Linked DNA regions of Bombyx mori. The protein of the gene in region 3 purifies or fractionates together with the protein of the main gene of each other region. This does not show direct contact. Links are inferred from orthologs where the notes say so. Each region holds a gene or a part of one and is shown on either strand. Other genes may lie near its edges.

Evidence for each region. The genes of interacting proteins can lie anywhere in the genome.
Region 1: the proteins of VIG (region 3) and RNA-binding protein FXR1 purify together in Drosophila melanogaster (affinity purification with western blotting; 4 studies listed by BioGRID, with this or other methods). This does not show direct contact. The link is inferred for Bombyx mori from reciprocal best matches to the Drosophila melanogaster genes vig and Fmr1.
Region 2: the proteins of VIG (region 3) and Ago2 purify together in Drosophila melanogaster (affinity purification with western blotting; 3 studies listed by BioGRID, with this or other methods). This does not show direct contact. The link is inferred for Bombyx mori from reciprocal best matches to the Drosophila melanogaster genes vig and AGO2.

Annotation. Positions count from the first base shown.
Region 1 is NC_085112.1:15,603,504-15,607,003, forward strand, and holds part of RNA-binding protein FXR1, read right to left. Parts: intron 3,239-3,500; coding exon 3,071-3,238; intron 1,146-3,070; coding exon 1,059-1,145; intron 1-1,058. UniProt on the Drosophila melanogaster protein: Polyribosome-associated RNA-binding protein that plays a role in neuronal development and synaptic plasticity through the regulation of protein synthesis of mRNAs.
Region 2 is NC_085118.1:6,279,253-6,282,752, forward strand, and holds part of Ago2 (argonaute 2), read right to left. Parts: intron 2,974-3,500; coding exon 2,859-2,973; intron 1,500-2,858; coding exon 1,332-1,499; intron 631-1,331; coding exon 523-630; intron 40-522; coding exon 1-39. UniProt on the Drosophila melanogaster protein: Essential for RNA interference (RNAi); double-stranded RNA induces potent and specific gene silencing.
Region 3 is NC_085116.1:3,010,764-3,013,872, forward strand, and holds VIG (plasminogen activator inhibitor 1 RNA-binding protein-like), read left to right. Parts: upstream 1-1,339; coding exon 1,340-2,509; 3' UTR 2,510-2,609; downstream 2,610-3,109.

The sequences.
Region 1 (3,500 bases), on a different chromosome or scaffold from region 3:
GTGTGCAGTTAGTCAAACTTTCAATTTTTATATTATCCTGTAATTTCATTTTTATTGTGTACCACAAACATACTGAGGAGATGTTAAAAACAAATACACACAAGCTCGAAGTTAGAAATATTTTAAAATAAAATTCAGAAAGAACTTGAGCATTTGGCCTTTCGGATATTAATTACCATTATTACCAAATAGACCAAGAAATCAACCAAATGGTGGTCCTACATGACACACCAGTGTAAAATTCTAACCAGCAGAAATTATAAAATAATCATTACTTGTTCTAAAGCCAAGAAATTAAATTGAGAAAAATTTCTACTGCAATCCTTTGTCCTTTGTCAATCCTTTGGAATATTATAAAAACAACTAATGAAAAAATATATAATTGACTTAGCAAATTTCTTAGTATTTATTTTGCACAAATTGTGCTTTGCAATTTAGTTAAAGTATATTAATTAATTCCAGAGAAATATTACAATTATATAGTTATATTTGAATATTCAAAGCGCCAGATGTCAAGGAAAATAAAACATCCTTACACAACCTTTTGTTTAACTCAGTTTTGTTCAAAAATAATAATTTAAATATTGTTAATTAATTAATAAAGGTGAATGTGTCAACAGTCAGTAATCAAAGTGTTGTGGTTGTGTAGTCATTTTTTGCATTTGTGCGTACTTTGATCGTGTACTCATGTAGAGAATTAAGAGGAGAGTAAAAAATGTGGAGAGCCTAATACTACCGTCTCGGCACAATCTAAAGGGCCGGCGGTCCTGGGGGCTCCAGATAATGTTAGCACCAGTTTTGTTCAACCATTAAACTTATATTGAGATAAGCCTGAGTCTATTGGTTCAACAAAACAGGACCACAAGTCAACATTTCTGACTTGAGATCCTTGTTCAATGCTGAATATTGAATGTATCAGAAATATAATTAACTTGTTCTGGTTCCTACTTCACAGTAGGTTATTTAAACTGTTTGAAAGTATAATAGTTTCTCACTTTTTAAACAAAAACGATTTTTTCGAGAATCATAACGAGAGCACGTGTACAGTAGTGACTCACCCGCCCTGATTGTTTATTTTCGTAGATTCAAGCTGCCTCGCTGCCTCCTCTGTTTTCTTCAATAACATAAGTTTCTGGGTCAAATTTCTGAAAATTAAAATTTAATATTTTATTACTATATAAAACAAAACCATTTGGTTATTTTCTTGCATGTAACCAAACCATGACTACGATCCATGCCATATTAAATATTAGATTCAGTGAGTAGATATTCTCAGTCAGAATTTACGGTGCATTAAATTGTCTAATTTCCTTTTTGGTCCTAGGATTAATCCTTTTGGTCCTAGTCACTTTATGTATGTATCTACTGATTTACAATATTTTTTGTAATTTATAACTTCTTATATATGGAAGAAAGCAATACCTGTTTTTACAGATTAGTGTGTAACAGCATTCCATGACTATTTCAATCAAGAACATTGTGTAGCAGCTGTTACGGTCTACTTCAATTAGAAATTGTTAGATTTTGTTTTTGTAAGCGAAATGAATTTATCTGTTTATTCAAAACGTGGTAAATGCGATCAAAGATTTGAAACAATTCCCAATGAGCCGCCATCTTTGAGCAGTTGGATAAAATTCACATGACTTAGAGGAATGTGAAGAAAAAAGAAAGAAAAAGAAATATGCTACATCTATCAGCACATGCCTAGTTCCGAACCTGCGAACTATTGCGTGAAAAGTGAAAGGTATCGCTTCCACAACGCGCAATACATGTCCCACAATAAACTTTATTACTACTGCAATCAATTAAAACAAGACACGAGACACTAAATCTTAATATAAAATTTGGCAAGTACATGTATTTTTTTTTACAATTAGTTATGTGTCATATTCGGCTTCTAAGGATTGTACTAGTCGGTGTTTAATTACGAACATTGCCAATGTGAGGTTACAAGCTAACCTATTCCTATTGTAGATTTTAAGTCTCTTTATTATTTGGATATCCCGTTTATTTGGTTGTTGTGATGATCGTGACCTGATATGGAGTAGGTGGCCATATAGTTCAAACACATGAATATCAAGTGAAGTAACTAACCAATGTATGGTCAATATTTCTCAGCATTATCCCTATCCTTCAATAAGTCGGAGGAGGCTATGCATGGCCGGATAGATAATTCTGATGGTATATGTGGGTATCGCGAATTACGTTTAGAGATGTTAATATTTAAGATATTACCTATACATTGCTGAATAATTTAAACTGTTAGTATTACCAGTAACTGCCCTGTTGACTGATATCATTTCTATTATCTTACAGCTTGGTTGCAGATCTAGATTTGCTAATGGCCCTGAAGTATGGTGGTTACTCCCCATCAAGTACCTCAGCGGTCTCGAATAAAAAGAAATTTCAATCAAATAGTCAGATCGCTCAAGTACCCCAAATAGAGTTTATACAAAGTGCTCATCTATCGGCTAGGCTATAATTTCGACAGGCGGGAGAAACATCTTTTTTTATCTTACATAGACAAGTACAGTTGATCACAGTGGACGCCATGTTATAGAGCGACTGCGGTCCATAGATTTTATAACACAAATATCACATGTAGTGATTGATAATAATAGTATCCATTTTCTTGCTTTAATCCTATATTACGTGACATCGTCGGAGCATGTCCTTTTATCGTGTGGCATGAGTTTTAAGACCGTCCACACTAATAAAGCTAGTAATGCTAGCATTTATAATTGAATATGAAATTTCGAAAAGGGCACATGTCGCATATTTTGTCAAATAGGTTTTTTCATATACATGTAGTTTTGAGGCTTACCTACACCCATTTTATAATAATTCCAGTAATTTTCAATTGCCAATTAACACTAAAATATGTCTCTAAAGTTAATATTTTAAATTTTACACTGCTTTAGAAAATAATCACTTTTTTTCATTTCCTGAACATTTTATATATTCAGAGATGTGCCCTTTTCGAAATAGCATATTCAACTGTAGTGTAGTGTAGTGTAGTGTAGTGGGGTGGGGTGGGGTGGGGTGGGGTGGGGTGGGGGTGTGGAGGTACCGGAAGTGCATCTCCTGCAGCATGGTGGCGCGGCGCTGCGAGGAGGCGCAGCGGGAGAGCACGGCGAGCACGGCGCGCTCGGGCACGTACCAGACGAGCGCGGCGCCGATCGCCTTCTGGAACTCCTTGTGCGCGTTCTCCACCTTCGCGCTGTGGATGTCGTGGAGGCTGCACACGTACACCATATAGTTACTGCCGACCCAACCTCAACATCAGCCATGCTTGTGTCCGACTAATTATTCACTCTTCCATTCAAAATCATTTTGATCTTACATATTATAGCACTCATGGTTAGGTAAAAATGAAAGTGTGAACCCCCAAAACAATTCCTCCCTGAAGTGTTCCATGCTATACAAGATATTAACAGAGCTAAAGTTTCTCCTTTACCTCAGAACTTCCACAAAGTATGAAACCTAGTCAAAATGATGTG
Region 2 (3,500 bases), on a different chromosome or scaffold from region 3:
CTCCAATGCCTGATTTATTCCCATAAGCTTCGAATTCACCTAAAATATATAACACAAGTGATTTAACTAAAATAATATTAGGTATATTAGATTTTCAAATATCTTATACCTAAATATTTCAGTAAGATTACAGGTATTGTTATGTAGATACAAGTATCGCCGACTATCATGAAATAGCAGAAACGGATATCAAAACAATTAGAACAATCAAGAACGTTCGAGAAATGCAATGCCATCTATTATCAAATAGCGAAAACGGATATCGGAGCGACTAATACTAGTGGTATTACGCGCATAGTAGTATTACGCGCATTAATATCAGTCTAATATACATAAAATTCCTAAAAGGCCAAGTGCCAAAAACAGACTTCACAGAGATTAGAAAAAGAGAGATTACCAAAAGAATCCGAACGACAATCATTCTGTACTAGTGTTAGTAGAACTCGTATTAGGCGTAGTAATATTAATAGAAGCGTCAGCCGAGTATTCTTATATTTACAGAATGAGCTATTTATTTATTACCTTTAGTAAAATGTTCCGAGCTGTTTGTGGGTTCATTCGGCGCGTGGCGGTATCTTCTTTGATACACTGCGTCAGTATACCCACTTTGAGTTCGGCAATCTGTTTCAGCTGCATTCAAAGATATCATACATTAATCAAAGTCAATCTTACCTTGATAGGTTTTGAGGGGACAGCCGTTATGCGCAATTGAGACTTAGACCTCATGTCTCAGGTGGGTGACGACATTCACATCTTAATATGTGTGGACTCCGATAACCATTTAATATCAGGTCTCGTGAAGTCGTTCACCCATTTATTTAGTGGAAAAATTGATTTCAATTTATTATTACAACAATAGGACGTTTTAGAAATCTTCTGCAAGTCCAATCAGAATATCTCCGATCCCACTGTTCAACTTTAATGACATACGCCTATTATAAGAACCAAGGCCACCAAAGATGCCAAATGATCATCACATTACTGCGACAGCTTAATAACGATTCGGTTTTATTATTATTATTGCTTAGGTTAATGAACAAGCTCACGGCCCAGCAGGTGTTAAGCGGTTACCGGAGCCCATAGATATCTACAACGTAAATACCGGAACCTACCTTGAGATCTGAGTTCTAAGATCTCAGTGTTTACAGTACCACGGCTGCCCCACCCTTCAAATCGAAACGCATTACTGCTTCCCGGCAAAAATAGGTATGGTGGTGGGACCCGTGCGGACTCTCAAGACGTCCTACGATCAGGCTTACAAAATATAAATAATTTTATCTGTGATCCATTGTTGGTTTTTTTTTAATTTGCAACTCTAATAACGTAGGTACCTTGTGATAATAATCGCGGCCCCGTCCAGAAACGACCACGACCAGGAAATTGACCTGTTTTTCTAGAGCGTGCAGCATACTCTTGTGCAGGTCATTTATACGGATGTTGAAGCAAGCCATCTTTGGTTGGGTCACGTTCATGCCCATTTGTCGACCGGTATTCATTAGCTGAAACATACACAAACGCGTTACCGTTAAGAATATGAAGTCGTCGTGGCCTAAAGAATGGGTCGTCCAGTGTATTCGTATCCAGAGCAACCTCCAACAGCGTTCCGTGAGCTCGTTCAACCGCATCAATCCTTTAATGGTCTATAGCGGACTTAAAACACTATCTTAGCTCCCCCAGTTTTAACCCGACGTTTCTTTGTACTATATTAACCAATACTAAGACGAAGCAAAGAAAAGATAAAGAAGTTTTTTTATGTAATATTTTATGTAATAAAGAGTCGTCGTGGCTTAAAGGATAAGACGTCCGATGCATTCGTGTTTAGCGATGCACCGGTGTTCGAATCTCAGGCGGGTACCAATTTTTCTAATGAAAGACTTACTTAACAAATGTTCACGATTGACTTCCACGGTGAAGGAATAACATCGTGTAATAAAAATCAAACCCGCAAAATTATAATTTGCGTAATTACTGGTGGTAGGATCTCTTGTGAGTCTGCACGGGTACCACCGCCCTGCCTATTTCTGCTGTGAAGCAATAATGTGTTTCGGTTTGAAGGGTGAGGCAGCCGTTGGTCCCACCCACCTTGGATCTTATGTCTCAAGGTGGGTAGGAGCATTTATATTGTAGGTGTCTATGGGCTCCAGAAACCACTTAACTCCAGATGGGCTGTGAGCTCGTCCACCCATCTAAGGAATAACAAAAAAATAGTATTTTGAATACATTACTACTTTGTATAGGCTAGTAGGATTGAATAGGCTGCGTGCATCCTTTCTAAATTATTAATTGCTAATTATATTTGGGGTGAACACAAAACAAAAACAAAATTTCTACAGTTGTAAAATAAAAAATGTTGTAAAGTAAAATAAAAATGAATTACATATTACTTTTTCTTAAGCATCTAATTTCTATCACAAATGGAACCAATATTCAAAGCTACATCTAAACAACATCTTGATTTCCGCGTATGAAAATAAATTATTGGGCTTCGTTCTTAGCTAGACTTACGGAACACATTAATATTGTTTATGGTTGTCTACGGTTTCACATTAAACACATTTTTTTTCTTTCTTTTATGTCATAATTTATAATAAACTAGCTGACCCGGCAGACTTCGTAGTACCTCAATCGATAAATAAAAGACAAAAGGAATCCGCCTGATAGGGGACACATCAAAGGACAAACAAAATTGTTATTTTTATTTAATTGCGACCATTTTCATATTTATATACCTTTTAAACCTTCTTTGGACTTCCACAAATAATTTAAGACCAAAAATAGCCAAATCGGTCCAGCCGTTCGAGTTTTAGCGAGACTAACGAACAGCAATTCATTTTTATATATATAGATAAGATAAAAACCTTCGACACGATGTCTTCATAATTACATCCACGTGGATCCAATTCTATGGCAATGAAGCCCCATGAATTCAGAGCTTCCGGTTTCAGAAGACAGTTGGCCTGCCATACTCCCTTCCTATAATTTAACCAACGCATTCGTATAACATTTCCTTGAAATGTTTGCTTACACTATTTTAATTGAGGCCGTCAGCGCAAAAGTGGCCTAACCCAAAATTTTTCATAATGTTTATAATTGTATATTGCAATTATTATTTTTATTTTTTATTTCTTAGCTGGTTGGATGATCTCACAGCCCACCTGGTATTTAAAATATAATAAATTTTGATGCAAAACCAGCCTATCCATAGTTTTACCCATTTTGTCAAACATGTAAACATTATTTTTGCGCGTATTGTTTTTTTGCCTACTCAAATTCAAATTCATGAAAACTTAAACCTCATTGCTCCATAATAACTATGGTAAGCTTAGGCCACTTTTGCGCTGACGGCCTCAACTAGACTCATATTCAAATAGAATTTCTGTACAGTGTAAAAACCTTTAACGTCACTTCAGTATATCGATACGCATATAATACTGTAAGTGTAGGATTCTGGACCTTATACGAGACACATAGGGAAGATCTCCTATGGAGTGGATTAACCG
Region 3 (3,109 bases):
TAAAGCGAGAGTTGAAAATTCTTCAAGAAGATTCCCCAGTTCACGATGCACCATCTCTTTTGCAGACAACATGTGCTCTGGTTGGCGAAAGCCATTTCTGAGTGTTGGGTGCAGATATGTGGATATTTAGGTCACAGTCCTCATTTCGTACGCTAAAAGTCTACCAACCATATTGTGGTTATTGCACTGTAGTTTTTAAATGTAATGCACGGTAATTTGATTCTGAAAGACGGTTTTTTTTTATATTTGTAGCTTGTATATTTGATCTGGTAGCACTGGTATGAACTGTAAATGTAAAGCGTAAAAAACCGGTATTCTTAAATAAAAACCGGTATTTATCGGTATGTATAAAAACCGGTTTTTCTCCGGTTTTCTTCGAACCGGTTTACATCCCTACTACCTATAAATGAAATTAGCAAAGTTACGCTTTCAAGGCTACCAAGGCAAGTACATGATTATTAATAATAGCTTCAAACATTATCAATTTATCGGGAAAACAATTTGTGATGATTTATACATTGTTTGCAAATGCCTGTGGCGTTTAAGAACGCACATTTTTATGATGCGTAAGCCGGAACGCACGAGAGATGGGAAAAAGAATATAGTCTGTGAGACGGGACCTTTTTTACCACCAATTTAAAACGAAAATATAATTTATAATGTGTTTAATAACTAATGTAATATAATTACTTAGAATTGTTTATGCCGCTACAACAATAAAATTTCTATTGTTTCAACTGTGGTGTTAATTACATAAAACACGACTTTACGGCGAAATAAAGAAGGGACTCTATATGGATTCCCATATGCCTATTAGATTGATTATGCCTCCAGTTATCTTGTTAATATGGATGAGACAATTGTACAAATGAGACATACAAACAAAGGTGTATTGAAAAGTTTTTGCCCATTATTTATTTTTAAATTTTTTGTTCTCACAAAAACTAATCGAGGAACAAGCCGAGAATCTGAATCTTTAATTCAGAACGTGCATGGCTGCATGGGTATCAATTAATAACAGTTTAAACTGGAACAATGATTATTAGGTAGTATAAAATAGAAATGAAAAATAGGTATATTATTTGAAACAAATCCTTGATCGTTCGACTATAGTAGAATGTCATTTGTGCCAGTATAGACCATAGACAATTAAAAAGTTTTTCCACCATTTTGTTTCTTTACTCTATTCCTTTTCGTCATATGGCGTAGTAGTTGTTCGAATCGGTCCGCCATATTAAATGAAATCAATAAAATAAGACAAAATGTCGCCTTACTAGTGCGCGGAAAGTAATCCAATAACATCTAAATATTGTGTGATTAAATCATCAAGAGGATCACAATGGAGAATTCCTACGGTGTGGGAGTAGTGAACAGATACGCTCTTTTCTTGGACGATGAGACCGATCCTCTTGATGCGTTAAAAGCGCGAGAGCAGGCGAAGGAGCTCAAAAAGAAGACCAAAGAAGCCGAAAAAGAGAACAAAGGCAAGCCTGAACCCAAGCCCGCTAAAGGCGTAACCGTTCCCACCCGGAAGGGCATTAAGGAAACTCAAAATGTGAAGTCTCAAGACATCAAAAGTGGAGAACAACAGAAGGGTAAGGGACCTGCACGCCCGGTCGATCGTAATGTTGAGCGTCCGCCTCCGCGTCGTCGTGAAGATCGGCCGCAGAACGGTACCGCAGAAAACAAGGAAGGAGCTCCGCGGCCACCGAGACGCGAGTTCGGCGATCGTCGGCCTAACTTCAACGAGCGCCGCAATTTCAACGACAACAACCAGGACGGTGCAGAGCGTCGCGGTCCACCAAGACCACCGCGTGAGCCTCGTGAGGGACCGCGCGGGCCGCGTTCTTTTGACAATAGAGGCAAACGTGAGTTCGACCGAAGATCCGGCTCTGACAAAACCGGTGTGAAATCAGTCGACAAGAGGGAGGGCGCAGGTCCCCACAACTGGGGCACGATCAAGGACGATCTCGACGAGTTGAACAAAACCGGTTCTGAGGGTGAAACTACTGAAGAGAAGGCTCCTGAAGCCGGCGCTGGCGATGGACAAGTGCCTGAAACTGAACGTGCAGTGCCCGCTGAGGAAGAACCGCGTGAGTTGACACTCGATGAATACAAGGCTTTACGCAACGCGCAACGCACCGCTCCGCAGTACAATTTGAGGAAGGCAGGTGAGGGTGAAGACTTGAGCCAGTGGAAAAACCTGGTTCTGTTGGAACGCAAGAAGGAAGGTGACCGTGGTGATGATGAGGAAACTGACGAGGAATACGATCTGGCCGACTATCCACAGCGCGTGGGTCGCCAGAAGCGTTTGTTGGGCATTGAGTTCACATTTAGTGACGGTGCGAGGCGCGGCGGTGTGGGCGGGCGAGGCCGCGGACGGGGCCGGGGTCGCGGACGAGGAGTGCCGCGCGAGGAGCCGCCGGTCGTGGAGGAGCGCCCGGTACAGCGTCACCACGTGACGCCGCCGAAGGTCGACGACAGCAAGGATTTCCCCTCTCTCAGCTAGACTCGCAGTGAGTCTAGATTCTTCTCCCTTTCGAAGCTAGAGTTACAAATTATAATGTATGTACTGTTATTTTTGAAGTAAATATACAATATATTTACAAGAGTGTGTATTGTATTACATTGAAATCAGTCTACGTAGTTATTGGCTCTAAATTTTGTGAGTTGATTATAACTTGCAACGCTGCCTGGGGATTGACATGTTTCTGTGGAAAGGAGTAAAGGGGGAGGATTCGTCTTGTTTAAGTTTTATTTTTTGATACACATACTACTGCTACATACTTATTATTGTGGATTTATAACAATAGCTTTTATTATATTGTAATCACACCAGCTTTTCATTTTACTGGTTGAGTAATCGGTGATAATAAGATTTCAACCTTCAGACTGACGACAAGCTATGGATGAGTTTGAATCTACTCCGTCACAAGTTAGTATAGTATTTTGTGAAGAAATAACCCTTGCATTTTATATCATGAGTTTGTGTTGACAAATGCAGACTGGGAACTGTAAATAGTTATATTTTAAAGATAAGGTCAAAAAGAACAAGGTTAATATTTGTTGTTACACGAACTTCTTGAGTAAATAAACATTTTGTATGTGT